Linked DNA regions of Arabidopsis thaliana. The protein of the gene in region 4 purifies or fractionates together with the protein of the main gene of each other region. This does not show direct contact. Each region holds a gene or a part of one and is shown on either strand. Other genes may lie near its edges. The genes, in order: AT1G10580, MEE5, ESP3 and emb1507.

The links.
Region 1: the proteins of emb1507 (region 4) and AT1G10580 purify together in Arabidopsis thaliana (affinity purification with mass spectrometry, with the first as the bait; one study listed by BioGRID). This does not show direct contact.
Region 2: the proteins of emb1507 (region 4) and MEE5 fractionate together in Arabidopsis thaliana (co-fractionation; one large-scale study listed by BioGRID). This does not show direct contact.
Region 3: the proteins of emb1507 (region 4) and ESP3 purify together in Arabidopsis thaliana (affinity purification with mass spectrometry, with the first as the bait; one study listed by BioGRID). This does not show direct contact.

What each region holds. Positions count from the first base shown.
Region 1 is NC_003070.9:3,489,566-3,496,850, forward strand, and holds AT1G10580 (Transducin/WD40 repeat-like superfamily protein), read right to left. Parts: upstream 4,270-7,285; 5' UTR 4,101-4,269; coding exon 2,386-4,100; intron 2,002-2,385; coding exon 1,995-2,001; 3' UTR 1,693-1,994; downstream 1-1,692. Other genes in the region: OTS2 (Cysteine proteinases superfamily protein), read left to right, coding at 1-24, 109-211, 490-587, 803-925, 1,045-1,156, 1,242-1,349, 1,436-1,537; AT1G10585 (basic helix-loop-helix (bHLH) DNA-binding superfamily protein), read right to left, coding at 4,550-4,639, 4,731-5,048, 5,402-5,539.
Region 2 is NC_003070.9:1,897,422-1,907,010, reverse strand, and holds MEE5 (Ribosomal protein S5/Elongation factor G/III/V family protein), read right to left. Parts: upstream 7,061-9,589; 5' UTR 6,904-7,060; intron 6,779-6,903; exon of another isoform or gene 6,715-6,778; 5' UTR 6,582-6,714; intron 6,500-6,581; 5' UTR 6,488-6,499; coding exon 5,747-6,487; intron 5,661-5,746; coding exon 5,592-5,660; intron 5,488-5,591; coding exon 4,294-5,487; intron 4,183-4,293; coding exon 4,084-4,182; intron 3,971-4,083; coding exon 3,812-3,970; intron 3,696-3,811; coding exon 3,610-3,695; intron 3,526-3,609; coding exon 3,327-3,525; intron 3,249-3,326; coding exon 3,138-3,248; intron 3,047-3,137; coding exon 2,840-3,046; intron 2,527-2,839; coding exon 2,428-2,526; 3' UTR 2,114-2,427; downstream 1-2,113. Other genes in the region: CLE3 (CLAVATA3/ESR-RELATED 3), read right to left, coding at 785-1,036; AT1G06210 (ENTH/VHS/GAT family protein), read right to left, coding at 8,025-8,408, 8,589-8,870, 8,959-9,444. UniProt on the Arabidopsis thaliana protein: Splicing factor involved in pre-mRNA splicing and component of the spliceosome. Essential for reproduction. In female gametophyte, is necessary for the egg cell and central cell fate determination and hence reproductive success.
Region 3 is NC_003070.9:11,745,091-11,752,003, forward strand, and holds the start of ESP3 (RNA helicase family protein), read right to left. Parts: upstream 4,694-6,913; 5' UTR 4,476-4,693; intron 4,202-4,475; 5' UTR 4,197-4,201; coding exon 4,100-4,196; intron 4,014-4,099; coding exon 3,883-4,013; intron 3,726-3,882; coding exon 3,531-3,725; intron 3,429-3,530; coding exon 3,363-3,428; intron 3,221-3,362; coding exon 3,134-3,220; intron 2,801-3,133; coding exon 2,767-2,800; intron 2,645-2,766; coding exon 2,590-2,644; intron 2,288-2,589; coding exon 2,228-2,287; intron 2,137-2,227; coding exon 2,065-2,136; intron 1,837-2,064; coding exon 1,773-1,836; intron 1,674-1,772; coding exon 1,594-1,673; intron 1,464-1,593; coding exon 1,396-1,463; intron 1,288-1,395; coding exon 1,233-1,287; intron 1,087-1,232; coding exon 1,029-1,086; intron 943-1,028; coding exon 871-942; intron 692-870; coding exon 623-691; intron 306-622; coding exon 216-305; intron 1-215. Other genes in the region: ABCI7 (non-intrinsic ABC protein 6), read right to left, coding at 5,001-5,295, 5,360-5,619, 6,032-6,904. UniProt on the Arabidopsis thaliana protein: Involved in pre-mRNA splicing.
Region 4 is NC_003070.9:7,306,099-7,313,258, forward strand, and holds the start of emb1507 (U5 small nuclear ribonucleoprotein helicase), read right to left. Parts: upstream 4,174-7,160; 5' UTR 3,988-4,173; intron 3,833-3,987; 5' UTR 3,817-3,832; coding exon 877-3,816; intron 171-876; coding exon 1-170. UniProt on the Arabidopsis thaliana protein: RNA helicase that plays an essential role in pre-mRNA splicing as component of the U5 snRNP and U4/U6-U5 tri-snRNP complexes. Involved in spliceosome assembly, activation and disassembly.

The DNA.
Region 1 (7,285 bases), 3.8 Mb from region 4:
GCCAGTTATAAATTTCTACATCAGGTGACTTCTAAGTACCGACTGGGATACTTGCATTATATGTCTCGTGTTATAGCTTTGTAATAATTTCTGCTTCTGTTTGACTAGGTACGTGCAACATCACGTGTTTTCAGCTGATAAGACTGCTGCTAATTGTCATTTCTTCAATACGTTTTTCTACAAGAAGCTCACAGAAGCTGTTTCATACAAGGTGATTGCTTTCCCTGGTTTCTATAAAGATAATTATTAGTTCTCAGAGCTCATTATATTTTGTTTGCATTTAAAAAAAATTCAAGTCCTCAAGATGCTTTATGTTTCATTGTTCTATTATAGAAGGTTGAGTAAATATTTCATTTGCAACTGTAACAAGAATTGAGAAAAAAAATGATAATACTACCTCTTTTATGAATCTTGTGATTTAACATTATTTTTCTTCTGGCGACTCATGTGTTGTTCGGTCTCTTTGTCTTGTCCTTTCACTATGATTAGGGTAATGACAGGGATGCATATTTTGTGAAGTTCAGGCGGTGGTGGAAGGGTTTTGATCTATTCTGTAAATCATATATATTTATACCAATACATGAAGAGTAAGTAATTTACTGACTGTTTATTATTGAATCCCATGAATGCATTTTTTTGGCATGAAGAGTAATTTTTGTCATCTAAGCTTAGAGGATTATGCAAAAAGATGGTATCTTAGATCAGAGTTATCACATCTCAGTCTGCTCTTTCTAATGGAGAAATGTTCTCAGCATCAATTGTTAGATTGGTTAATGTTTTCTTTCCCTCTTGAATGTTTCAGTCTTCACTGGAGCTTAGTCATAATTTGCATCCCAGACAAGGAGGACGAATCGGGATTGACTATAATTCACTTGGATTCATTGGGACTTCACCCAAGAAATTTGATTTTCAATAATGTCAAAAGGTGAGACCCAAGGAATCCGTATCATTGATGCTGATTGCATAAAGTTTCTCAGTGTCAAGAGTCTAAGACCATCTTAACTATATTCTATTTGTGGTTTTAATTACAAGTTATTGTTGCAGATTTCTGAGAGAGGAATGGAACTATCTAAATCAAGATGCTCCATTGGATTTACCAATTTCAGCAAAAGTATGGAGAGACCTTCCCAATATGATCAACGAAGCTGAAGTGCAGGCTAGTCTTTATACCTTAAGTTGCAAATCATAATGTTTGAAGACAAATTATAGTATTCTTCTAAATAATTTCATCACCTTTTCAGGTTCCACAACAGAAGAACGATTTCGACTGTGGTCTGTTTCTGCTCTTCTTCATAAGACGTTTCATCGAAGAGGCTCCTCAAAGGCTGACATTGCAGGATTTGAAAATGGTGCGTTTTTCTTCCATCTTTGTTTCTATGATCTATTCTAAACAATTTGCTGTTAACAGAACTTGTTGTATTGTCTTCATCTCCAGATTCACAAGAAGTGGTTTAAACCGGAAGAAGCTTCCGCTTTGAGGATCAAAATCTGGAACATACTCGTTGATCTATTCCGCAAGGGTAACCAAACAGATTAAAGCTGTATAGAACAGTGTCAAGTTTGGTCACTCTAATTAAGGAATGAAATGAAAGATACGTTTTTGTTAACAATCATTTTGTTCAAGTCCTGTAATAAACTAAGGAGCATGACATAATCAGAACAAATCAACAAGGTAATAATAACGTATCCGAATAAAAAGCCAACATTGCTGCAATGGTGCAAAGTAACACAGCTTTAGCAAAATTTCAAGTCTTACAAGCTATCTTTATAACGATTCAGTCAACAGTTTCTCTCAAGCATTTGAAATAGTTTTGGTCGTCCCTCTACATAATCCATTAAACCGAGATTGATACAACACTAAAGAATCTAAAACAGCGGAAAGCAAAACTCAAAGGGGCTTTGTATCCCAAAGATGCAGCATTCCGTATAGCCCAGGCTAGGCCGTGATTTCTGTGCCTTCTACTCTCTCTTTCTCCGAAATGCCTCTGCTTGTCTTAGTCCCTGCAAATGTGCAACAAAACATCACAATCAAACATTAGCCATGAGATTACGACATGGTTACATGGACTGGTAATTTTCAAAGATTTTACAATTGCGCAACTTCTTTATGAATAAAAACCATTAGAATCAAAGTCAAACTTTCTTTCCAAATCACTCCACAGATGTGAACTCAAAGTATTACTCATACACTAGGAATATACGATATCTGATTCCAAAAGAATTAAGACACATGTTACATGCAAGGATACTCAGATGACAACTTTAGCTTTGCTACAATTATATATACCAATAATAACTATTATGCAGCTGTTACGTAAAGGCACACACCACACATCATGACAAGAGAAACAAATAAACAAAATAGTCTGGAAGAAGGTTACATACCAGTACTTAATCAAGCCGTCCCAACCACAAGTTGCGACTTTACTCTGTTCCAGAGGATGCCACTCGGCTCCAATGCATACTCCATTGTGACATTTAAGAGTCCTAAACACTTTGCAGCTCTTCCAGTCCCAAAACCAGCACTTACCCTCACCATCTCCTGACATTACAAACCGTCCATCTGGCGAGAAGTTAACTTGGCATGCATAACCGGCAACAATGTGCCCTGCAAACCTCTTCTTTTTATTCAGCTGAAACCTTTCTCGGGTACTGTAGATCAGAATCTGGTTATCCAAACTCTGTGCAGCAAGCCAGTTTCCATTCGGGTGAACAGAAATGGAAGGCATAGAATGCATATGAGGCTCACTGATATACTTGATAACCACCGGGATCCCAAATTCCCAAACACGGAGAGACTTATCATCGCTCGACGTGACAAATCTTCTGTTATTGTCCACAAATGTGATAGTATTAACTGCCCCCAAGTGCTGATCATACTCTTGCGTAACCTCCCCCGTATTAATATCCCACTGCACAATCTTCTTATCACTCATACCAGCCAACAAAATGTTCTGCTTGTCATCATCCGGATTCAGCTTAACCACATACGGAATCTTCCCAGTGGAGAAAGTCGATATAACTTGGCCAGTTTCCGTGTCCCAATACTTAATGTTCTTATCATACCCAGCAGTCAAGAATTTAGACCCATCATTGGAGAAGCAAATATCCCTCACAGCTTTGGCGTGACCCATGTAAGTCCTCATACATTTACCAGAGTTATACACATCCCAAATCTTAACCTTACAATCCATACCTGCAGAGAGAAGCAAATGTCCTTGCTTTGGGAAGAACCTAATAGCGGAAACACCTTTCGTGTGCCCACTCCATGTATGAACCAAACGTTTTGGAATGTAGCAATGATCATTGTTCGCCTTAGCATCTTTAGGAGCCTCAATCCAAGACCTTCCTTGATAATCTTTCTCCTCTTTGCCATGGAAGGTACTCTTATCCGCATAATGCTCTCCTTTGGTTTCACCTTGTTGTCCCTTCTCCTCCTTCTTCTTGGCATGATCCTCCGCATACTTCTTCTGCTCCTCCGTCAACTCTCCCTGAACCACCTCCTTCTTCCTCGACCACGGACTCTTCCTATTCTTCCTAAGCCAAGCTTCCGTCTCCGGATTCTCAGCTTCCGGCTCAATCTCTTCCTTTTTCTCTTCCCCTTCCCTCTCCTCTTTGCTCCTCTCAATCTTCCTCCGCTTCTGCTCACTCTGAGGAATATTAAAAACCGAAAGACCATCGTTCTTCTTAAACGCCTCAACATCGCCGACGTAGTTCATCCCAGACGGATCCGCCGCGTAACCGCACTTATGAAACGTATGGTACTGCTCTTCAAACCCAAACGATCCAATCGAAGCATCTTCCACAGAACCTAGCTTATGATTCCGCATCCCTTGAGCGATCCCGTCTTTCGCATACGGATGCGCGGGGCCGAACATCGGAGCCCACAGCTGATCATGGGTAGGGTTATAAAAGACGACGTGTTGAGTCGGGTCAATCGGCTTCGATTTCGATTGATTCACGTTAGCCACCGTGAGAGCTAGTGCCGTATCGTCTACCTCCGGCGCCGATGATTTCGCCTTTAACATACGAGGCGGTGAAGATTCCGGCGAGGAAGCAACGGCTTCGTCTTCTTCTTCGTAGGATTGAATCAGATCCATCTCTCACGATTTTGCTCTCTTACCACAAGTGTTTGAGAAACTTTATACTGAGATTTTGCCTCTTTTCTCTTCGACAAGGGTTTCAAAATTCCTAAATCTAAAATAAGGGTTGCAATTTGTGCGATATTTAGATTTTCAAATATAGCCTCTTACTATTTTTTTCTTTTCACATTTACCCCAATAGTGTATTTTATTGACATTTACATCCCACTGTCTTACTCGGTGGTTAAAATTATGCAAATCTGGACCAATCTAAAATCACGCCAAGCCAAACTGAATTAAACCGGGATGAATAAAAACGAAACGACAACGTTTTAAGGTTTCTTATGTTGACGGTCAACATATTTATCATAATCGAACTCAAAAGCAATTACTCATCTCATATTTAAAGAACTAACACATGTGTGAAAAAACACACTAGCGTTAGCGTAGACTTATCATTTGGGATTTCATGCTTCAAAATATATATATCCATAGATGATTTTCCGTACTCTCTCTTCTATCCTTGATGGATCAATGCCAATCCGACTAATGATAGCCTGCAAATATATGTAATAAAAATTTATACGAAAGACATGACACATGCATATACGTGTGTATTATACAAACATATGCGTGTGGATGTGGTACCTGGGCTATGATTGTGTAAGTGGTCCTATCATTCAAGTTCTGAAGATTAGCACTCATTACTTGAGCTCCTTCTTCTTCAAAAATACTCACAAGCTCGTGTAACATTACTCTTTTCATGTTTAGATCCATGATCAGATTCATTTCTATGGTCGAATCCCGCGAACGAATACTGAGTTTGGGTAGAAGAAACGACCCTTCGTAGAGATTCCCGAGTTCTCCTTGTAACAATGTCCTTTTCTTCTCTTTCAAATAATTTACATTCTCTTTCAATTGGATCATGTATGATGTCGCTTGATCTATAAGGTGAGGCACTGGTAACTGTTTAGATCCCAAAAAAAACCCCAAGATAATTACTTTCATTAATCTTTTACATGAATGTGGTTATATTCAATATATATAAATAAACCGTAAAAACCCTAGCTACGTGAATCATTTATTTGTCAATTAGACACCGTACTTAAAAGAGAGCTAATATGGACGGTCATAGAGGGACAACTGCCTATTCAATTAATCAAAATATTATCTCTTTAGAATAAAACGTACATCTTACAGTAATTATGTAGATAATGTTTGTATTGTTGTATATACGCATAAAACACATCTACAATTTAATATAAGATATATATAGAGAGAGAAAGAGAGAGAGGGAGAGTTAGAGAGAAAAAACGGACCTTGCGAGTGGGAGAAACATGAGAAGAAAGTATAGAGAAGAGATGTTTCATGCGCATCCTTCGATCCTTCTCTCTGAGGTTTCGTTGTTCCCTTAACGACGATGAGTTTCCTTCTCCTATTTCTCTTGCTCTCCCCATTCTTTTTGTTTTCTTTTAAGCTTTTATGTACAAGTTTCTCTTTTCAAATCCATCTCTCTTTATATACAGTTAAAGAGATAGAGAGGGCCGGGAGATACAGAGTCACAAATCTCAACTTTGAGAGAAAGAGCTACGTGATTTAGATGAAAGGGATGTTTTGGAAGAAAGTCATGGCTTTTGTGATTGCGTCCGTGAGCTTACACACTAAATTAATAAGATGCATGCATCTTTCCTACCAAGTAAATTTTACTATTTACTTCGGAATTTCCACGTTCTTAAAGATACAAAAGTTTCAAAACAATTAGATATGTTGTTTATCATTAAAAAAAAAATTAGATTTGTTGGTGGGTTGACACATTACTAGGACGCATCATAATTTCGATGTAAGATTTCTAACGTTCAAAGACATAGTTTAGATAGCATCATGCTTACCGTGTGAGATGAGATTCCTAACGTTCAGAGATATGATTCTTCTTCTTTCAGATTACTAACCATGAGTTTAAGTCCTGTGATTTACAGTAGGTTTGGAGAAAATTATTATCAAAAATCATTTCAATGGCGTAAAATAGTCAACAGCCACGGTAGACAAAAATGAATTCCTTACAACAGTACTATATATGTTTCTATCAACAAATAGAAAAGGAAAATTGTTTTGTATACTGATAGAATCGGGACCACTAAATCAAATAGTATCATCATGTTCAATTAATTTGGTGCACGTATTCATTATCCGAGGAAAGTATCATAAGGCGCCATAACCTAAGATTATTCAACAAGCTATCATTATCATAGAAGAAAAGGACACAACACATTCGGCATTCCTTACATAAATTATTAAAGGCCCTCAACTCTCTTTGGCCGTATGGCCGACATCGTTCACCGGATAGGGGATCTACATGGACCGATCGTCTAAACGTTCACCGGAGGTGAATACAAAGACAGAAAATTAAACATGCCTAGTTTTGTTGAGTCTTGGAGTACTCCAGGTAGATGTTGGTCATAACTTTGCCACTGAGCAAACTGACATAAAAAGTAAAAGGAGCCGCAATATGATACTAACACTGTGTATATATCGTCTCGCTGCTTGACCACTTGCTTAGAAACTGAGTAAGGGACAATTATATCCTTATTGCATTTTCCACATGTTATTCTTTTTTTCCTTCTTCAAATATTTGAATTCGTACAAGAAGAGAATAGTCATTTGGTAACTATCATAATTCATAGCCATTGAAAATCCGTGACTAGAAATACAGATTAGCCCAATTTTAAAATGTTAAGCCTATAATTACTTGTAACTAATTCTGTGGCTAGAAAAGGATGATTACTTATAGTTAGAAAATTTGTAGCGAAATTTTTGTTATCGATCTATATATACTGTCCAATTTATATAAGACATTTAGAAAAAAAGATTTGTTTACTAGTTATGTCGTGTATATATACATGTTTTTTAAGTTTTAGTTAACTATATTCACATACAAAATCTAACCATGTGTGATTTTAGGAGAAAACAAAGATGAATGTCCTTGCTATCGCAATATGAAAAACTCCAAAAGTGGATCCAAATGCCTATGCCCTTGAACATGTTTTGAAGATAGTCATCAGATGCATAACATCTATCTATTCTATGTATGCAAATATCAATTACGACTATTTTAGACGGCGCCTGTAATAAAATATTTGAGCTTAAAATGCTCAATGAAAGAAAATTTGAGAGTTCTTGACAATAAAAGTAGATAATATATTTTA
Region 2 (9,589 bases), 5.4 Mb from region 4:
ACCCATAAACATTTACATCTGTAATCAACAACAACAAAAAAGAGAGAGAACTCAAGTAAAATAAATAAAACAATTTATAATTTTGAATGATTTTTTTCTTAAATCTGGTACTAATTAAATTAATATTTAAAGTTAGTATATTTTGTATATGTATTGTAATATTTGTATATTTTCTAAAGCAAGATTTTTTGTCAAGTTTATTCATTATTTCTGACAAATATGTGATGCTGACAAGCAATTGAAAAAAAAAAATCTTGCTTCAGAAAATTTTGAATGCTTTTAGATTCACTATATTTCTGCTGGTGAAAAATTCCATTAAAGTTTCACTCATTTTTTGTTATAAAGGTAATGTTTTTCTTTTTTTAGTATATAGATTGATTATTTCAAATACAAACTAAGTGATGTTGATATATGTTATATAGTATATCTATGTAATTATTTGTTAGTTATAATTGTGAATTTTAGATATAAGAAATAAGCTAAATGGTGTTTTTTAATTAACTTGAATAGTATGAACTCATATTTAGTGAAAATGGGAATAGCTCTCAAAATAAGCATAACATGCTGCTTTTTTAAATAGAACATATTTGCTAAAGAAAGATGCATGCAGGAACTACATAAAAACGAGATCATGTAAACAGAAATGCTTCATTAGTGGAAAGACAGAAAATTAACTACAGCATAAGAATATTACATTATAAGTTAAAAAGTTGTAATATCATATTAAAACTCTCCCAAAAATGTTACATTACACATTTTTTTTTGCATTCTTCTATGGTCAGTGTCAGTGATGCCTCGGGTCAGGACCACCGGGACTAAGCCGCTTTGAGTCAAGAGTATTTCCAAGGATCGTCTCTTCGCCTTCTGATCTCCCCTTCATCTCTTTTAACCTCTCAAAAAGTTCACGTCTTATCTTTTTCAAACGACTTGAACCAGAAAATCTCTCTTCGGCAACCAATGGTCGACATTCGTGCACCGATGTCAATTCGAGTACTAGAAGCAGGACCAAACAAACCCATAACTTGAGACTTGCCATATATATGTAACTTCCTCTTAGTTCTTAAAGGTGAGATATATAGTCTTTGAAGATTTTAAGGGGGTGATCTCCATATATAAGCTCAATAGCTACGGTATTTATAGAGAAGCTAAAGTCCTAATTAACGTCCATCTATGCAGAAATTAAATACGTTAATTAAGTTGGAATCTAGTCATATCTACCTAGCTAGTCCCTTCTTATATATCTCTTAATATTTATTTTTGAAAGGTCGTCATCACTTGATTGCATTTGCCTCTATTTTTAGTGGGAACGTAGTAAGTGACGTAATGTATAATTTCTGTTAGTTAAAAATTGTAAAACGAATGGAAGAAAACAAAATTATGTCTATATTGAATGACATGCATAGCTAACTGATTTCACTTGAAATAGAAACTTAAAAGCTAATAATATTTAATTGGGAGATTATTTTTTAAAAAACTCACAATTCATATTCCATAAACTAAAACATAAATTAAAAGCAATTTGAGTATTGTAGTAATTCTACCGAACCCAAATGTATATAGGATATGTGGAAAATCATTATCGTCGTTTGGTTGATGGAGCCAAATGGATATAACCAATGAAGATAAGGCATGACGTTTTCAGAGTTGGCAATGCACATAAAATAAGGTGGAGGAGACCAATCTAAAACCTTAAACGATGTATATATTAATCCACCAGGGCCTTAACTATATATTTTGTAGCTTTATTCTATGTATAATAAGTATAAGTGGTTGCCGCCACGTCCACTTCGATTTGTAAAGAGCACGTCAACGTAAAAAGCTGATTATGGAAGCATGAAATAGACGAAAATAGTAAAGCACAACAAATCTTTGAGACAAGTAGTGACGTTTGACGAATTAACCGATTTTCATTGGAGTAAAATAAGTCGTCTGTGTGCACTAAATTAAATTATGAAGAAAAACTTACTTATATCTAGATAGGTTTGTGCCATTGACCTGGTTTATCTTTAAATTTAGCATTTTTGAAGAATCAAATCTTAGTTATGCAGAAAACTCTTTGCGGAAATAGGATCTGGATCGTACGTTCTCTGTATCATATGTATAATTACTAATCATATAGACAACAAACTATGAGATCATCTTATAAATGATAGTGTCATAACCTAGTTCAGTTTCCCATAATCCAATAGTAGTTTACAATTTTACAAAAATTTGTGAACATTTCCTGTCAACTATTTGCGAGTCATGTGTGAGTGTGACCATGTGGACTGTTGAGTTCATTAAAATCTCTCAACTTACAACGTAAATTTGACACATCAATTACAAAACTGATCCACATTTTCTTGTTCTCCTTTCACATATATAGAGAAGAGAAGATACTACTACTAGTCCTGAATCACGATTTATATGAAAAAAGTGCAGAGATCATCAAATCATCTGCAGATGGAGATCGCCTGTTTGCTGGGCAAGCTCTACCATCATCGCTTCATCAAAGAATTTATTTCCGCTGACGTCTTCGCTCATTCCCTGCATAACCAACAAATTATACATATCGTGAGAGTCTGAAACTGATGATCCAAACACCCAACGAGTCATACAATATAACTAGCCTAGGATGTATCCAGCAAATTATAGCTGGTGTTACTTGGTTAAAGAGTAATTAGCAAGGGCCGGGTTTGTAAACAGTAGTTTCGGGGATCCTTTGGTTTGTGAGGGTTTACTGGGGTCATTTAACCAAACACTAGAGTAACAAATCAGTTTATGGTTTCATTCGTATCTTTAACCGCATGAAACCCACTAAGTTTTGGGATGTGCATTGAAACAAAGGAAATCATAATACCTTTCTACGGCGGGTCTTGACCATGAATTCCCGAGCTAGATGCTGAATAGGAGCGGGCTCAAGTGGGCGCAACTGGATGGCTTTGTCTAGAGGGTCTCCTGGCACAATGGCCCAGTGATCAAACACAGATAGGCAAAAGGCTTGTCCCTGAGTGTGGTACCTCAGATCTGTCTCAAACCCAAAGGACTCTATCACAGGCAGAAAGGCCTGCATCAACACCAAAGAATATACTCAATGAATCATCACTTAGTCAAATAACAGGAACAAAGTAAGGAGAAAAGACACAAACAAAACTAACCTTCACGATATAAGCTGGAGTACCGGGTTGAGGAACATCAGATGTGACATGCCCACGTCTACGTGACAAAACTGTGTAGATTGCAGTTACACAGTCGATTGGTGTTTGTATCTGCGACAAAACCATAACTCTTAGTTATCATTTTAAGAGAAAAAATGTGACGAGCAAAAATGGAAAGGGATTATGTACCTCCACATAGTAGACAGGTTCCATTAGCCTTGGAGTTGCCATTAGAAAAGCTGAATATGCAACACGTCTTGCTGTTGGAATCATCTGACCAGATCCTCTATGCAATGGCTCTGGTGCTATCCGTGCATCAACAATCTTGAACTTTACATTTCTGATGGGCTCATCACAGAGGGGACCTTCACGAGCACCCCACTGGAACCTGCAAGAGGAATAAAACGAAGCCACTTAGCTAAAGCCAACAAAATCGAGTAAAAGAAAAGTGTAACAGAAGAAAGATGATTACCCTTGAACAATGGAGTCTTTCACTGCCATCATCAAGTTCCTGTCCACCTCAGTTGGAAGGGTGTCATCCAATAATATGTTTGGCCCCTGATCAGTCGAAAATCAACAATCAATGAAATTGTCAAAACAGACATAAACCAACCATAACAATAAAGATAAAGTAAACCCCAGATTGCAGTGTTTTAAGAATACAAGCATTTCACCTGTTTGTCAGGGCCAAAAGCCCAGATGGAACGTGCAGCAAGTAAATCCCAGTCATATTTCGTCCTGAAGAAGTCACCAAGTTGTTTTCTGTTCCAGTCAATGCTTACAACGCCATTCTCAATGTCCTCTGCAAGTCCTCTATCCAATGGCTCTGCAATCTTTAGCATGAAACAGATATCAGATTTTTCACAAAGTAATTGTGCTTGAGCACCATACCAAACATCGCAGTCTAATATATAAGAGATAATAGTGGAAAAAGAAGATCTCTTACCATAGTTATTTTGTTCTTTTTGTTTGGTGTCTCAGCAAAACACTTCATCGACGAAGATTCAACCACTGTCTCACAGAAGGAGACCACCGGATCTGCAACCTACAAATTTAAGAAAGCAAAAGGATCTTAGCTATCAAACAGCCAAATCAGCAATTTGCTTGCACACCGGAATCACAGTCATAGAGCCAAATTAGAGATACAATTAGATACCTTTACTTCGACCTCTGAATAGAGCTCCCTGAGGTCCTTCATGATTGAATCCAAGTACAACTCACCTGTGCCTAGAATAGTATGTTCCCCAGACTCCTCAACTTTGGTAATCGCAAGGGGATAGCTTTTGCTAATTTTCCTAAGCCCTTCCACCATTTTAGGCAGCTCACTAGGATTCAAAGGCTCAGTTGCAGTCTTGACTACTGGGAGGGTATTAAATTGGAGAGCCCGGAATATGTAGACATCTTCATCATAGCTTGCATTACACAGAGTCGCAGTTTTCATGATGGATGCATCGACACCTTCAATTAAAACCCAGGAACCGGGAGGGGCACTGCTTACTGGTATTCTATACCTAGCTTGATATATCCATAGCTTCGTCACTTCTTTTATAGTCATGTCCTCCTCATCCTCAGGTGAATACCCTTCTCCTAGTACACGTACGCTTTGCCCTGTTTGAAGCCTACCACTATAAACTCTTCCAAACACATCAAAAACACTAGTATCTGATTTGGGGTACAACTTTGTCACATTAACCATGAGAGGTCCAGATGGATCACATTCTACCATTGATTCATAAATGGGGGAATCTTTGGTTCCGGTATATGAATGGTCGACCTTCCTAGCTGCAGCCTCTCTGGGTGAAGGAATGTGCTTTACCAACATATCAGTGAACCCTGATGCCGAACCAAACACTGAACTACAGGCTAACCTAAGTAGAGGTCTGACGTTCAGCTTATATGCACTATTACTCAGAGTCACTCCTAATTCTGCAAGGGTGGTCTCTACACTCTTCTTATGTTCACCTATCACTTGGCTGTATATCTTGTATAGGGGCTCCAGAATAAACTGAACAAATGCTCTTTCTCCACCACCTACTGGAGGACTTCTCTTGAATACCCTAGTATCAGAGTGATAATATACATCTCCCCAAAGTCGAGATGCAAACTTATCCACGTCCATGGCCACACCATGAAGCTTGGCATACATTTTAGCAAAAGATTGTAATGTGAAGGACCATCCGGCTGTACCACTGGCAAAACATACATTTCCAGCTGCAGGGTCTATAAGAGGTAAGTCTCCAGCAGTTGTTGAAGCAGCAGATATGTGGTTATTAATGACTTCAATTGTATGCCTCAGCTTGTAGTAAGCATCCCTTGGAGGTAGTTTGAGCTCAGTTATGAGCCTGTCAACCTGTTGGGGGAAAAAAATTGACAAAAAGCAAAGGTCAAGCAAATGTATGGAAATATAAAATTTCACACAGTATCTCTTAAGTTACACGTTGAAGCATGAAGTACCTTATTGATAACAACTACAATAGGGAGATGGTCCTGGATTGCATGCCGTATAGCTCTCTCTGTGTTAACCTGAAAAAAGATTATTAGCGTCAGTACAAATAGTATACTTCAAAAAATTAAAAATACAGACCAAAAAAGAGAGAGTAAAGACTTACCATCACTCCTTCAGCAGCATCAACAATCAGAACAGCACCATCAGCAAGTCTTAAAGAAGCAGTCATTTCGTCAGAGAAATTGACATGTCCAGGGGTATCCATGATATTGCACAGGTATGATTTGGATCTACTGTCCTCAAGGACAAGAGACATTGGAACCGCCTTGATTGATATATTTCTCTCCTGCTCATCGACTCGTGTGTCTGTATATTTCATATGCTTCTCGTTTTTAGCATTAAAAGTAGACATATGATGCGTCTGCTCTACCAACATATCCATGAAGACAGTTTTGCCGTGCTGTAGATGCCCCACAAGAGCAACATTCCTCACAAGCGCAGGATTAGACATGAGGCCGATAAGAAACTGTGTTGACACATACGTTGCTTGATCTTTGACCCCCACCTCAAATCTAATATCTCTAACAGGTTTGATAATGGGTTGCTCAAGAGGCTGCTCATCTTCATCCATAACCAAGGTCTCAACATCCTCACCATAAACCTCCTCAGCAGTAGGGTAGTACTTCTTATCCTCAGGAAGAACAATTTGGTTCTCCATCTCAACATCATTGATAGTGGTAATCCAGCCATTAGAACCCCCAGGCCCTTGTTCGCCATCGGAACCATTTTCTTCAAGATGCTTATCTTGGAGATCTTCATCTTCTACTTCATCATCACTATCTCTGTCAGACTCAATCTCAGGTCCAACATAGTTACCAAACTCATCATACAAGCTACTTTCCATCTTTATGTAAACCTGTCAAAAAAGAATCCCATGAGCAATCAGGATTTTGTAGCAGATAAACAATAACGGCAAAAAAGTCAAATGAGTGCATTACCACAAAATCAAGCTTTTGATAGATCTATCTGGGTTATTTACTATAGCAATTCTGCAACATATTTTATTTAACCCATTGGCGAGTAATCTCCTCTAATGCTCAACACCAAGTCCAAGAGAACACCATGAAAAAGCTAGAATCAACCAGAAACTTAAGGTAATTAGACTAGAGCAAAACCCTAGGAGAGAATCGAGCAGAAGCTTATGCTAAGTTGGACTAAAGAAAAACAACAAGGCGAGAGTCGAGCAGAAGCGTTGGAGTAGAGCAATAACCTAGGGTAGAATCAACAAGCTGAACAAAGTTAAGGAGTGAGAAGACGAACCGGTGGGGAGAGAGAGCGAGAGGCGTTGCGATAGCTAGAGGAAAATGCGAGTTGGCTCGGCAATAGGGTTTGTCGCCACTGAGACTGTTATCGCCGGAACAAGGGAATGAAAAATTTAGATTTAGGTTTTGATTGGAAGACTCTACGTCGGACAGAGAGTTTTAGTCGGTATATATTGATTAAATTATAGTAATTGAAATCTATTTGTAACGATGTGGGATATGTTGATGGGTCGGGTCCAATTATATGTCAATCGGCCCAATTTAGAAAAAATTGAAACGTCTAAACCAGAACGTAAACCGGGTTCACTATGTTTACTGCAGAAAAAATTCAGTAAAAGTTTTAAAAGATGTTTGCGTTTTGCGATGGATGAAGCAAAATTAGTCGTATGTCACTTAGGAGTTCATTTTAGATTGAAAGCTGCGATTTGAAGAAGATAGTAAGCATAACAAGATGGTTATAATGATTACATGAAGACAGTTCTTTACTCAAGTGTAGTGGGAAGTATCATATACTCTTCAATCGGTACAAGCCCTTATTTGGCTTTGTTGGTGACAGGGGTAAACTTTTGGAATATCACTGTGAAGCATCGTCCAAGAGACAGTGAGAAGTATCGTATAGACATATACTCTACAATCGGTACAAGACCTAATTTGGGTTCTCTAGTTGGTGATAAGGGTAAACTTTTGAAATATCCCTGTGTAGCATCGTCCAAGAGACCAAGACTCCGATTATTATTTGACTTGAGAAGACTAAACACATTAAACACATTAAAGGTTAGACTTCGTTTTATCATTTCGAGCGAGTTTATCGGAGAGTGAGGTGAATTTTATCAAGCCATTTATATAATCCAGAGGAGATGTAGATACTCACCTCTCAACACATAAGCAATAGGCTAAGTGCAAACCAAAACACCTCGTATAAATGTTTCGGGTGAAGATTCACCTACGGTTTAACAATGTCTAAGAAACCACTTTAAAACAGAAAGTGAGAAACGAAGCTAAAAAGGTTCCACACTTATAATGGAAGTACATTGTTATAATTTAAAAGTAAACCATCAAGAACAACTCTTCGCAACATTCTGATATCCATGTCGGAAGAAGACAACAAACACAGACTGCTTATTTTTCATCTTCATCACTCGAAAGCCCCAGTTCTATTTTCACGGCCTGCTTCTCTTCTTTGACGGTTTTGTTGGAGGATCCTGATGCTTCTGAATGTTTTTTGTCATCATCAGCACCCGTTTTCTTTACAGGCTCTTGTTCTTCTTGTTCTGTTGGTTTCGGACCAGTATCTTTGCTTCCTGATGATTCTTGTTCCACAATGGAGGCTTTCTTTTCGGTTTCATCAGGCTTCTTGTAACTAGATAAAACTTGTTGGAGCTCATCATTCAGATGCAGAGCCTCGAACAGGACTCCCTCGTCGTCTGTTGTACTCTCTATGATCATTTGAATCAATGGCTGCGATTGCTTGCATTTCTCCATCAGGCTAACCGTTAGATCGTCCTGTAACCATAATATATATAAACCTATTACTTATCACTGTCCTGTCAATTTCACTTTAAGCACATATATCCAAGGAAACAATAATGTAAACCAGGAGATACTCATAACTCAATCCATATTCCATAGACATTTGTTAAGGAAAATGACAAAAGTTAGATGAGCAGACAACGTAGCAACTACCTCTGTGTGATTTGGCTTTCCTTCAGTATTCAACATGCTAGAGAGCAATTCGAGGCTGTTCCGTGTAATCTCAATCTGTTCTTTCTTATCCTTTATCGATAAGTTCCCAAAGTTATAGTCAAGACCATCATCGTCCCCAAGAGCCTGTTCTTGATTAGGAACCGGATAGCTACCAGGTGGAGGCACTGGAACAGGCCGTTGCATAAGAGACTCCAGAGAACTTTGTCCCGGCATTGAATTCTCTTCACCTCGAGCGTGTAATCCATTTTCGCCTTCCAAGCTCTATGAAACAAAAGACAAGCCGGAGATTATAGGCATATGAACAATTCCATCTTTGCATAATAAGCAAATAAGATTCAGAGAGATTTACCATATAAGTCTGGTGGAAAACAGGAAGATAAGTAAGATCTTGGGATTGTCCCCAAGCTCTAATAAGCTGAAAAGCTCGCTTTCTGTTCTCGGAATCAGCTTCTCCGTTCTTGATTAACCAAACCATCTCATCAAGAACTTTCTCAGAAGCAACTTCAGAGAAAACCTTCTCGCAATTCATAGCACAAGCCTCTAAAAGCTCAAGGCTCAGCCTTTGGCTCACAGGGCTCTTACCTGAGATCTTCCTCTTGATAGCTCTAACAATCTCAGTGCCGTTAAACTCATCGTTGTTAATCTGAGCACAAATCCTCATGTTCATTCCCCAATTAGGCTCCTCTAAAGTCTCTAAAGTAGCTTCATCCACCATTTTGGATTCCAAGGTTGGAGCTTGAAGCATATCTTTCACTTTCTCACTCACCATTCTGCTCATCTGAGCTCCACCAGTCTTCAGCTTCTCTCCCCATTCTGCTATCTTCAATTTGTCCATATTCTCTGCACAATTTTCCCAGACTTTGCTTAATTTAACGAAGCCCTAAAAAAACCCTAATTTGATTTCCGAATCAGTTTCGAGTCACCATCGTTCTATATAATACTAAACAGTACAACCGTAAACTCCGAATCGAGATCAATCA
Region 3 (6,913 bases), 4.4 Mb from region 4:
CAACCACAAAGGTCATGGACAATAGCTTTCTTCCTAAATCCAAGTATACGTTTAATAAAACAGCTTTTGAAGAAAAAACAAACAACTTCACATGAAAATAAGAAATGGCTAAGTTTGTTTTCAGCAAGCTAACAGCTCTTAGTTAAAGAAATACCACCAATTTGTTAGCAACTTCAACTTCAATGCTACAATTTGGGACAAGCAGTAGGTTGTACCTTTCCACGCTTTGTGTAACCAGCTTCATGGAGATATTGTGGTATTTGTGTCGTTTTTCCTGAACCAGTGTCTCCCACAATGACAAGAACCTAATATATTAAAAAAAGTTGAAAGAAAAAGGTTTCAAATTTCAATTGCATGTAGCAGAGAAAGCCATATAGTGAAAAACAAAAACGTTATGCACAATTTCATAATCAAACATTTCAATCTAAATCTTCATTTGTACAAAACACTGAAATTTGATACGTTCCTTTACTCAAAAATGATTCCTTCTCTATCGATCTTGAATCAGTTACACATACTCAAATGTTATAACCGGAAAATACTGTTTTCGATAGGGATTGGTGAAGTATGCTTCTCGTTTGTTATTAGATGATATCAAAAATGGCATGAAAGCTTGAATTACCTGATGCTCTTCCACAGCCTTAAGCAGTTGATCACGATACGTATAAATCGGCAGACTTCTTCTGACTTCCTGATTCACAAATAAACAGATGCAAGAACATGTCAAGATAAATTTTAGTTTTTGCTACGGATATAAATTCAAAGAAACATACAAGCTTAACTTATCTTGAATTACATCCTAAAAAGAAGATCTGGTGGTTGAGTTTGATCAAACAGAGTTAATGAGAAAAAATAGAAAAAGGATAGTACCTGAAGTTCCTCTAAAGCTGTTTTCTCTGCCAAATCTTGAGATTTTTGTTTTGCATCCATAGCATCTTCATACTGCAGTACAAAACAAGCAATCAGCTAAAACTCAACATATGAAAGAAGGTATCATCAGGTTTAATAGACATCATAGGCAATAATACATTTTCACCAGCCATGACAGATTCCTTTATGAAGTTTATTTGGTCTTCAAACACAAACCTGCGAAAAACATGTTTAAGATTTAGAATCCCCAGATCATGGGACTATCCATGTTTAAGAGCTGGCAAGGACTATTTCTCAAACGAGATAAACAAATTCGAAATCAGTAGAATAAGAATAAAAGAACAATATGCAACAGATCTTACTGATAATCGTCTGAGGCTTGCTTATTCTTTGCACCAAATTTTAATGTTGCTTTTCCTGCATTACAATGTCATTTAAATTAGCATACAAGTAAACAAAGTCACTTAAATCAGTGGATAGTTAAAAAATGACTGGTTAACAGAAAAGAGTTAAAACAGAAATTACCAATCTGATGGTCCTCCCAAGCTTCTTGCTCTGCGAATGGATTCATTTTCTCTGTTGAATCCAGGTCCCTAATATAAAAAATATGATTTAGGACGTCCGAAAGAATTTTGTAAAATAAGAAAGATAGATATTCCTATTGTAAGTGCAAGCAGAGAAGAATGTGGTGGATCACTAGCAAATCGCTCGTTGTCGACTCACCTGTATCGTTGAACAGCAACAGAAAACCTCTTCTCCTGATCAACACCTCCCTCTTGATCATAAGCATCTGGAATTCTATACTGAACTCCGAGAGGTAGGAGTAAAAGGGAGAGGCGTTAGATATATAGATATTCTACATAACCAAGTGGGAGAAGGGTCCAGCAAGATGAAAACGTTACCTCCTCGACGTTATCTTCATCTTGTGTTCTTTTCTTCACGAGGTCATAAAGCTCTTTCTTGTACCTATCAAAGATAACAGATCAACCCAAGCTCAATCAACTATAACTAAACATACTTTCTTAAATATGAATACAACCATCTAACTTTTCAATTGCAAAAATAAATTTTTTAAAAATGCACTATTCATATACAATTGAAAATGTTTATTCCTCATCAAAAGAAGCATGCTGCATCAAATAGATGTTGGCAATGGCAACAACCACCTTGATACAAGAAAGATGTAACAATTACCTAAACTCACGAAGCTCCGTTTCTGTGAGCTTTTCACCTCCGAAAAGATATTGTTCATCTTCTATCTCATCCCTATGGAGAAAAGAATAAAAATGGGAGAAATCAATTATAGAAGATAGATCCATAAAAGATAGAAAACTGCAAAAATCTTTATGTCATGTACCTTAGTTCATCCAGTTTCTTTTGTTCTCTCTTCTTTAAGTATTCTTGTCTCGAGACTTTCCTGTATCAGACCCACCAAAAGATGATCAATAACATGGACAGCACAAAATAGCCTCCAAAGAGATTATTTCAACAAGTAAGAACACCCTCAAGAGTACTTAACAAGGAGATGATTGACATAGTCAAAAATTGGTAACTGGAACATCATATAGTATTTTAACGGTGGGATTTTAACATACAACACCCAGGTACATTATTGACTACTGTTCTTGTAAATCATGCTAGGTAACTAAACTTAATTACCTAAAATCACTGTTAAAAAGCGATCATCACAAACAAATAAAGAAGGAAAAGGTTCATTACCTTAAGGAATATAAATCATCCTTCTCCAAAGCATTTGCTCTTCGAACAGCCTCTTCTGTTTTGCAATAAAACATAAAACCAAAATGAGAATATCAGGCAAAAAATACTTATGTCTAGATCACAATGTATCATAGAAATGTTCATATATGTTCATGCGCAAATTATAACAGAGTGTACCTTTCTCTTTCTTTGACAACGTTTGCTCTGTTAGCTGATCAATAAACAAACGAAAATAACATGTCATTGACTTTCACATGTACAATACATTGATAAGTAAACCATGCTAACTATATACTTCTTGTTTGGTTAGTGAATTTGTCTTAGCATACAAGATTGGATGACGAATAAATGTGAATATTTTTGCTTAATTCATCTTCCATACTCAAACAAAGCTAGATTTGCCTGCTATGAATTACGAGAAAACTCATTCATTAATAACTTGTACATAAATTGCCGACAATACTTACCCCCGGTTTGCTACAAACACACGACCTATTCAGAGCACAAAACAGGAAAAATATACCAAGATTAGATTGAGGCATACCTTTCGTGTCCGTGCAGTATCACGATCTTTTAAATGCTGCTCCAGTTCTTCTCTCTCCTTTTGGTCACGCACTCTTTCCTCTTCTGACTGTGCGAGTGGACAAGAAAGAAGAACATTATAAAAGCACACGTGAATGCACATATATCTATAGAACATCTCCCAGTTATTGGAGTAAACCAAAGACCAGGAATCAGAAAATAGTTGAAATGCGTTGAGAGTCCAGATATACCTCAGAACCATCATCCTCTTCAGAAACCTTTCTTCTAACGTGTCTACTATCCTCTCTAACGGCCACCTACATTTATGTTATACATTTTATCAGATCAGATGCCAAGCTATAACTTACCATTAAGAAAGAAAGAAATTGGAATCTGTCAATGAGGAAAAGAAACTATGCCTCGCCATCACTTTCATCTGACTGCCCACTTTTCTTTCTAAACCTTTTCTTGCCCTTATCTGATTTTCTAGATTCAGAAACTGAAGATTTTTTCTCCACAACAACTTCGTCTTCATCATCATCAGCATCTAAAAGAGCATATGTTTTCTGCTTCCTCACTAGCATTGCTGCCTCTGCTTCATGTTTTTGGTAGAGCTGACAGAGAAGTAAACCAAATTAAGAAAACCAACCAAAACTACAGCTAAGCTCATATCCATACATACTTCTCACAGAAACAGAAACTAAAAAAGCATCTCGTTCCAAAAGCTTCAAAGAGAAAACACAAGAACGATAAAGTTTACAGCAAACTCACATTTACACCAGCAGTTTTACGGGGAACTCTGGCAAAAATTTCTTCTGCAAACGAACGAGTATCACCAGAAGACGAAAACCCGTAATCCACCAACTCTCCCACAAGTTCAGTTGGTGATTTTGTTTTTTTAGCTGCACACAATTTGTTAAAGTTTTGGGACAGTCAAGCAAAAGTTCTTACATAAGCTCCATGATCCAAAATCGAAACATCAAATTACCCATTGCAATGAGATAGTTAACAACAGCCGCTTGAGAGTAGCCAAGTAGCATCATCAGCTTATCCGAAACCCAAGTCTTCAAATCATTGCTCGCCATTCTTACTGTATTTGAATAAACAAAGCAACACCAAGAATTTCAAATCAAAATCCATTCTCTAACCATTTCACATTATTTCATTGATATACGAATCAAAACAATAATTAGTGAAACTATACAAGATTCTCAATTTTAAAATTCACTTCGCAGCTTGAATTCTCATAGCTATCAAATCAACCGTAGGCAGCAATATCTCCGAAAAATCGAAAGTAACAAAACCTAATTTATAAACTGACACAAATTATCCTAATCATCGAACTAATGGAACAAGTTACAAACCCTAGATTTCGGTAAACTAAGGGTTCAGGTTTCTCGAGAGTGAGAAGATTTCGAGAGTGAGGATCTCTGTTTTCGAAGCTACCGGTGGGCGCGAATATATATATCGGAGTCTATCGAAGTATTTCACCCGAGTGGGTGGATAGAAAAGGCGGTGAGAGTCTCCGACGTTGAAGGAGGCCAACGATGGAGAAAAGGGAGGCGGTGAAAAACAAGTGTTTGTTGTTTTATCAGATTTCAAATAAAAAGCGTGTTGTTTTCAAGTTTTACTTAAATCCATAAACATCGCGTCGTTTTACTTATACAGATGCGAATAGAAACCTTTTCCCAAATTTAAAGAGAAACTGCACGCTATTTAACTCATATAGAAGCCAACTGTTTGTTGTTCTTCTTAGTTTTTAATTAAATGGGCCAAACTGGACTATATGGGCCTCCCAAGCCTTTGAGCAGTAATGAACAAAGGATAATTGACGAATCGTAAGCGCAAAACCGGCGCGTGAGTATCACGATCGGTTTCTGTGAAACACATCAGAGCAAGCCTTTGACGTGATTCCTGGCTTGGTCTCTGATTTCCCGATTTGGAAACTTCTCGATAACCTCTGATCCAAAAGACGATATGAGAGCTCTTCTTGCAGTCTCCAAGTCGATCCCACGAGCTTGGAAATAGAAGAGCTGGTCTTCTTCAAGATCACTGATAGCAGCTCCATGAGAGCATTTGACATCATCTGCAATGATCTGAAGATTCGGTTTTATGTTCACGGTGGCTCGGGGTTTCAGAAGGAGGCTCCGTGTTAGTTGTCCCGCGTTGGTCTGTTGAGCGAATCTGCATATTACCACACAGAAGTTAAACCGATGCTAAGCACACCAAACCAAACTGAAAAGTTTACCTGTTAACTCGGACATTGCCATCGAAAACAGCTTGACCAGAGGAATGAGCAACAATACACTTGTGAAGCTGTCGTGAAGCGCCTCGTGGATGGTCTAAGATAATTTTGCTATGGAGATCAAGAGTCTGCTCGTTGACACACATATGAAACGTGGTTAGCTCTGTGAGCGTATCAGGCCCAAGCTGCTGCACATGAACATTGTGCCTCCCAAGTTTCCCACCAGTACTCACTTCCACAAGCTCATATTCACTCTCTGCCTCCTACAGAGTTCACCACATGAACAATTCAGCATAAAACATTCCGAAGCCATACCAAAACATCCTATTCTATAAACCTTTATACTACAAAGAGGAGAAGACAAAATCAAAACTCACATGAGGCTGAAACTAAACTATTCATCCTCATCAACAATTCAATCATAAAGATTACAACTTTTCCAAGTTCAGCAATCAGCAGCAACAAAACTAAACTAAGACACTCTCCTCAGACAGCAATAAGATTCCTACTTTCGTACTCAAATTGATATCAAAACATCCAACACTAATCTAAGCCACGAGAGAGTACTACCAAACAGTAATAGGCTAAACTACTGATTCAACAATTCAAGAATTCTACTAATACCAAGCCAATTAGTTACTGGAAAGACAATAAGAGAATGAGCAAAGATTGAACCTGTCGGACAAAAGTCCACTTGATATGAGCAGAAGCCATGGATTCTTTCTGCAAATAAGAATGCTTCAATTTCGCATTCTTTTGAACAACAACTTCCAAAACAGGATTCGTCCAATAAAACCCTTCTTCATCTTTACCAACAAATTCCTCAACGATACCAATCTCTCCTCCTTCCTCCACTAACACAAAAACCCTAGGATTCGATACCGGTAACCGTTTCGATTCCCGGTCACCAGTTTCACCAGAAAAGTACCTCAAATAAATCGGATTCTCGACCTTACATCCTTCAGGAACATAAATCACCATCAAATCCGGTGCTCCCATACCATTAATCGACCAAAACAAATCACCAGAATCAAAATTCCCGATAAACTCAGAAATCCGGTTCGTTAACTCATCCGGTAAACCAGAATATTTCCCGAAGTAAACCCCATCGGGCAAATCCGATGGACCAATCGTCAAATTCGACACGAACCCATCAATAATCACAGCGTTTGTGAACTGGGTTTCCGTCAGATTATCCAAAATTTCCGAATTTCGTTGCTGGGTCGAAATTGGTTCGATTTGAGAAGATCGGATTAAAGATGTATCGGTGAATCGGAAAGGTTCGTCTTTTCGTGACGGCCATGGCGTAGATAAAAGAGTCTCAGCGGAAGAATCACGGATTCTTTGAAGAGGTAAAGAAGAAGAAGGAGAAGCTGAGAGAGAATCTTCGAGAGATTCAGCTAATTGAAGTACAAAAGGGTCAGAGAACGAAGCTTGTGCACGAACAGAAACACTTGTGGAAGTTGTTCTTCTGTTAGATTTCAATTTTGGTTTAGATGATAGATTTGGTATCAGTGATAAGCGACCGAGAACTGTGGCAGCCGCCATTAATGGATT
Region 4 (7,160 bases):
TCTATATCACCCATTGTTGGCTTCAAATGCTCATTGTATGTAGCTATGGTCCCATGGGTTATGTAATAGTAGCTTGCTATGCGTCCCAAATCTGTAACTTGGAAGTATCCACTTTTCCTGTCATACTTAACCAAGTTGTTTTTGTCCAAGATAGTAGCAGCCGAATGTATCTGCAAAAACAAGGATTCAAGCAAATATTAGACACAGCTCGCCATTAAAGGATCAATGATATATGAAACTTTAGAACAATGATATTACATAACCGAATGCAAACTCATTGTTCGGAAATCTCAAAAAGATATATGAAATACTAATCTGTCATCAACTTGAAGAAGACAAGGCAAACACCAAACAGTTCATCATTGATTGCATGTAATAGACAGTGAGAAAGCTACTGACACTAGGAACATTATTTATGGGAAATGATATCAAATAAATAAACGTCATTTTCAGAGAAATAAAATTAAATAATCAGGTACATACTCCCCATTCAAAATACTCAAAAAGAAATTTCTGTTACTAGATTAGTAATCAACATGATGATGCACAAGTGATCCCAACAGTACATGATGATGCACAAGTGATCCCAACAGTTAATCACGGAGGCAAAGCTACTGATGCTAGGCATAATATTTAGGGGCAATGATACTATATGAAAGAGCGTTACAAACTCTTCACTAAGAATATTAACACAAATAAAAGTAACTTTCAGAGCAGTGATAAAAAATACGCACAATTAATCACAGGCTGCATAATAGTAGGCTGTATGAAAGCTTCAGATACTAGGCATAGTATTTATGGGCATTTAACTATAGAAAAATAATGTGACAGTAGATAGCAAAAGCCAAAATTTATGCAGATGAACAAATTCCGTACCAGGTCAGCTCTTCTCTCCTCCAAAACTACGTCTTTTGCAAGGGCATCAGGCGCTAAGCCATACAACGTTGGATTACGAACCATACGGATATACAAATACGTGTAACCAAGCCAATGGCAAGCCTCTCTAGCATTCTGAACGGTTCCAAGCACAATTTCAGCATTAAGCTGATCAGCAAGTTTGGAAATAAACTGGCTTTCAATAGGTAGTTGCTCATTCATCAAAGAAAGATAATATTGCAGCTCGCTGTAGCCAGTTATAATTATACCCTCCCCATGTTGATCATACTGAGGTCTTCCAGCACGACCAAGCATCTGCATAACATCTAGAGGACTCAGCTCCATCCACGCCCCTTTTTCAGGATTATACACCTGGGTTCCTTTTATAATTACGGTATGTGCAGGCAGATTCACACCCCATGCGAGAGTTGCTGTGGAAACCAAGACTTGCACATGCCCCTGAGAAAAAAGAGTCTCAACAATCTCACGATCACCCCTTGATAACCCAGCATGATGAATTGCAAAACCGTAAGGCAGAATATCTTTTAGGTCACTATTCTTAACAATGTCTTCATGACTATGGAGAACGTCACGAGTTACACTATCTTCCTTCAAGAATCTGCTGAGGGTATCGTTCGCCATTGCAGTGTCCCTTATTGCTCTAGCAGTTTTTGATGTTTCCTTCCTTGAATGAACAAAAATAAGGACCTGGTGCTTTCCAGCACCAGCCAATACTTTCTGATAACAAAGATCATTCATCAACTGGAACCTCTGCAACGGTTTCTTCACACTGATTCCAATATACTGCTGATGGAGAGGCACGGGTCTGTAGCTGCGGTCAAATTTAAACAAACCTTTCTTAAGATCAACCCGCAAAAATAAGGCCACGTCTTCATAATTTGGCAATGTAGCAGATAAACCAACCAGACGAATATTCTCTTTCGTGGTTTCAATTTGCCTAAGAGTCCTAGCAACAATGCTTTCAAGCACAGGCCCTCGATTGTCATGAAGGAGATGAATTTCATCAATTATAAGAAGTCTCACAAGCTGAGTATAAGTTCGGTCTCCAGACTTCCTAGTGATGATATCCCATTTCTCTGGTGTTGTAACAATTATCTGAGTCTCTTCAATTTCTCTTCCGGTTAGGGACTGATCCCCACTGAGTTCTCTCACAATAACTCCATAATCCTTCAGACGATTAGACAAATTACCTACAACTTCAGCAACAAGGGCTTTCATGGGTGCAACATAGACAATTTTGTAATCTCCATGGTTATAAGTTCCATCTGTGTTCCTATTCATTTCAAGTTGCTGCAGTATGGTGAGCATAGCAACATTGGTTTTCCCAGCACCAGTTGGAGCACAAAGAAGAATATTCTCTGCCTTGAAAAGCGCAGTGTCATACACTTTGCTCTGAACCCTGTTCAACTGTTGCATTCCCTTAAAAGCCGGTTGCGCCCAATCAGGCATTTCCGTAATCTTCACTAGCTTCTCATTCCTATCAACCTTTTTAGAAACCCAAGGCACATGAACTTCATCATATCCCTTGCCATGACTTCTGTAAGAGCCAGGGGGGAGGTCACACTTCTTATTCGCCATCAGAAGACCACCTTGGTCAAAAGCCAAGCTCTCCAGGTCCAGCATCTGACGCTGACCCTTCACCCACCCACTCTCTGAATCTCTATCAGCAACATCTCTCCTGCCTCTGCCTCCATCTCCACCAGTTTCGTCCTTCAAACGCCGGGCTTCCTCGTTAATACTTTTTTGCAGGTTCTCCTCCCTCTCTTTCGCTGTTGCTCTTGTTGCATGCAACTGCTCCACAATTGCTGTCAACTCTGGGCCTAACCCCCTCATCTCCTCCTCGATTCTATTCCTCTCTTCCTGGTCTTCTGCCCTAGCCAAACGAGTGCACCACACAACTTTAAGACGGTTACGCAGCAGAAACTTGACAAGGCTAAATTTTTCGTACTGAAGGTGCATAAGCAGCTTGTCCTCAACAACCCTATCATCCCCTTCAGCGAGTATCTTTAGTAGCTCTTCTGCGAGTACCTGGCATTGTTGTGGATCAATCTGCTGTTCATACGCTTGAGAGATCTTTCTCTGGAGCCAATATGCATCAATGTCTTGAACATTAAGATTTGTGCCCTCATTGGCATCTCCTGCATCCTCATCATTTATCCCTGCATCAACCTGCATGCCTCCAGTTCTGGTAGGCTCATCATCCTCCTCATCATCATCCTCTTCAACCATATCAGGATCGCTTTCCTCATCATCTTCTTCATTCTCCTCAAATTCAACAGCCACGCCCAAATCATCATCAAGCCCTTCATCATCATTAGCTCTACCACCACCAGAATCACCACCCTCTTGGAAGTCCGTGATTAACTTTCCAATGGAAACAAGCTGATCAAACTCATGGTTTTCAATCTTGTTCAGCAACTTCTCAATCTCCATCTTTTTCTCAGGGTTTCTAAATGCGTCATTCTTGAGAACAGCCAAAATCTCATCCGCTGCACCACTAACAATACTCGGAGGTTGCCCACCCAACTGCTTCTGGATAAGACCAAGCATGGCTTCATAAGCAGCCCTCGTCTCCTTAGTCTTCGGCTGATAAACCGCATCATCAGTATCAGTCAGCACACTCTCTTCCCTTAGACGCCGCCTCTTACTCTGCCTAATATTTACCATATCATCTACAACATCACGTTCCTTCTTCTTAGACTTTTTCAGCTTATCCTCCAACTCCTGAGGCCTTCCCTTAGCAACACGGTCACCAAAAGACCTCGGATCGATTTTCCCCCACAGAGTTTCCGGTTCTCCTGTAGGCTCATGAGTATCCCGAGGTCTATTATCAGTAGTTAACACCAGACTAGAATTGGCTCTGTACTCATACTGCTTGAACCTGGCATGTGCTTCCGCACCGCCTCCCAAGTTCGCCATCTACCAATCCGAAAACCTAGAAACCAAATCAAACAGGAACAAAAAAAAATACACAATGTTAACCTCAAATCGAAGAAACGAACCAAAAGTGAAACGAAGAAGCTCCCAGAGATGATAAACCCTAATAAAACCACACCCAAATCGAGGAAACGGAGATTAAAAAAAACTTACAGAAACAGCTACGAAAATCTCTTCTTAGCTTCACTCTCTGCAACGAATCAATCCAGTAGAAGAAACCCTAGTAGGAGACTCAGATCTCTCCCTTCTCACGTCCTCTATCTCCTAATAATCGACCTAAATGACTAAAGGAGACACTCCTTCGTTTATTCGACTGCGAATTCTTTCTATAAGCTAGCGATACCGCCTTAAGGTGGAAAACTTTAACGATGCCGTTTTGAAACTATGGATCCAATAACGAAACCGACTCTGTACATGGATTGGGCTGGGCCTGTACATACTTCCTAAGCCCAACGTAATAAGACAATGGTCTCATGCTTTCTTTTGCGTTTGTTAATTTGAGAATGAATGCAAGTGTTTTTGTTTATTATAAGAATTAAAATTGTCAAAATATTAATACCTCAACATTAATAATCGCTGACAAATATAATGTGTGTGTAATAATGAACAAGGAATGGGAAAAACTTTAAATGGTGACAATGACATGGAGGCTGATTACTTTGAATGCAATCTTAGATTAGTAAAAGATGGCACATGTATATGAGACGAAGGTTCATGTGTTATCATGTGAAAACTGGGCAGTCCATAAAAATATCCAAAAAATTTATATATATGTCTTTGTTTATTTTTGTCAAATCTCTAAAGAGATCTATTGATCTTAGTGATAATATAGTTTTCAAACATGCAACACGTATAATTTATAGTTTTGTATTAAAAAGAGTTCTCATGTTATATATCGATATAACAAGAATCAACTACCATAACAACATGACAAAGTACAAGAAAAACTCACTCCATCATTAAAACTCTTGTTTGGAAAGAAAAAAACTCAACCGGTGACTAAATTTTTACTTTCTTTTACTCTTTAAGGAAATACAGAGAATGGTGACAAACAAACAAAACAGTAATTTAATACAGAAAATTGACTAATCACGCATCAGTCATCACATAAGTAGGCGTGTGAAATATTGAGACGTGGAAAATCAAAATGTCCCAAAAAGGCCATGTGTGGAAATCCACGTAACAAGAGCATCATATTCAATTATGTATTTTTGTTTAATATTCTAAAACAAAACTGTTTTTTTAAGAGTTTACCAAGATTAATTAATATCTAAAATTATGCTAAACCACTTCAATTTTTTTTGTTTTAAAGCGATGTTATTTTTGTTACTGCACATATACAACAAAACAAATTACGTATATATAAACAACTAAGAACTCTCGTCCGCCTAAATTCGGTTTAAACATCCATGTAAGCACCTATTGCGGATTAGAGGGAGCATCGATCATGTGACATAGTGTGGCTCCATTATCTTTAAAGTTTTGCCGGAGTTAATTATTTATGACAAAATTGGTGTACTTTATTCCAAGATTTAATAATATTTTTTATTATTTATTTGTTTTACTTAATAATACTTTTTATTCAAAAGTGTAAACACAAAGTAACAATGCCTATGCTGTTTTTTTTCCTATCAATTATTTAACCGCTGCATTTGATTAGTATATATGGAAGGAATATTTAACTACCGATTATCACTTACGGTTGTTAATGACAAATTTTTACAAGTAACAATTGATTTGAAAAAGGTCATTCAGAAAATCATCGCTAGTCTGCCACAAAATTCAAATGTGTTACAATGTATCATAGTTAACTACAAAATCCTTTATTATAACAATAATGGGTTGACCACTATAAATCCTTTATCTTGTTTTATACATTTCGGAGGCTAATTGACATTTTGGTCTGAATATATCCATGCATAATTAAAATTTCGAGTAATATTGTCTCAATATTCCTTCCATATATACTATGAATAAACTATTAGAGATTTTAACAAACCCTAGAAAGTCCAAAATACGTTTTTTGTGAAACATACGAAGAAAATAGATAACATATATGAATAATATGCGTAGAAATATTGACGAAAGTGACGAAATGTAACAGTTTTCGTATCATGTATACGTGAATTTCCATGTCAGGAACCGCTACTAGAATTGATAAGGTCAAAAGATGAAGCTCATCGTGACATTCCACCAACCGAAAGTACTCTCACCGCTTCACGCATGACCCAAATATATACAAAAGTAGAAAAAAAAAAGCACAAAAACAACGTGTAGAGGCGATAATCATAAAATTGAGTTCTTATACCTATACATTTGAAAAGCTTGATATAAAGAAAAATATGTATCATAGACGGATATATATAGCTCGTGTTGCGGCATATATTGTCAGTTAGTTCATGCCTATTGATTGATTTATTTGTGTAGCTGTCTCTTTGACGAATTAACTCAAGTTGGTATATTGTTAATTAGTTTTACCAGCTACTCACTTTATTGTCGATCTAGTGCTTACCAAACTAATGGCAACTACAAATTAAAGTCGTCTCCGTATATTAACGTATTTTTCAATTCTATTTACGCGTATAATATATCTTCGTCAACTATTGTGGAGTAGATCTAAATAAACAAACAGCGGAAAACTAAATAAATGTCATAATATGTAGGCAAGAAAACAAAAGAGCCATTAGATAATGTGTGTCTTGTATTGTATTTATTGAATCTTACCACCGAAACCGACATATCATTAGAGTTTTAGTAAGCACGTCATTTTCAGTTAGTAGGTTGGAAAAGAAAAATTCTCATCTTCAATATGAAAATATAGGATGAGTATCTTTTTATGAACGTTAATCGCTTAGTTGTGGTTAAGTTATTTAAAGTAAATTTTAATCAAGTTAGGCAGTAAAAAATAAATAATGAAGAATAACTATCTTCTTTACAATATGCAATTTAAATTTCTATAGGGAAATTATTTTTCGGTTATAGTAGTAGCACAATTGAATCTTATTGATGTATTTGAATTATACTAAATATTTTCATTGTATCACCCAATAAAAAGCTTTAATGAAAGAGACCAAAATTAGGAGGTTAGATATTACATAATCATCGTTAATATGCAATCAATATAATTCATGAAACGAGAGAGTTAAGAATGAGAACGTCGTTTTCTAATGTGGAACAGAAATCGCATATCCGTTTTCGTAATAGCAAGGCCCATCCCTTCTCACGCGCTACTTTATCCGACCCGATCCAACCTGATCCGGATAATATAACGAATTATGGTAAATCTTTGAATTAGTGTTAATTAATATTGTTGGCTAAAATCTAAC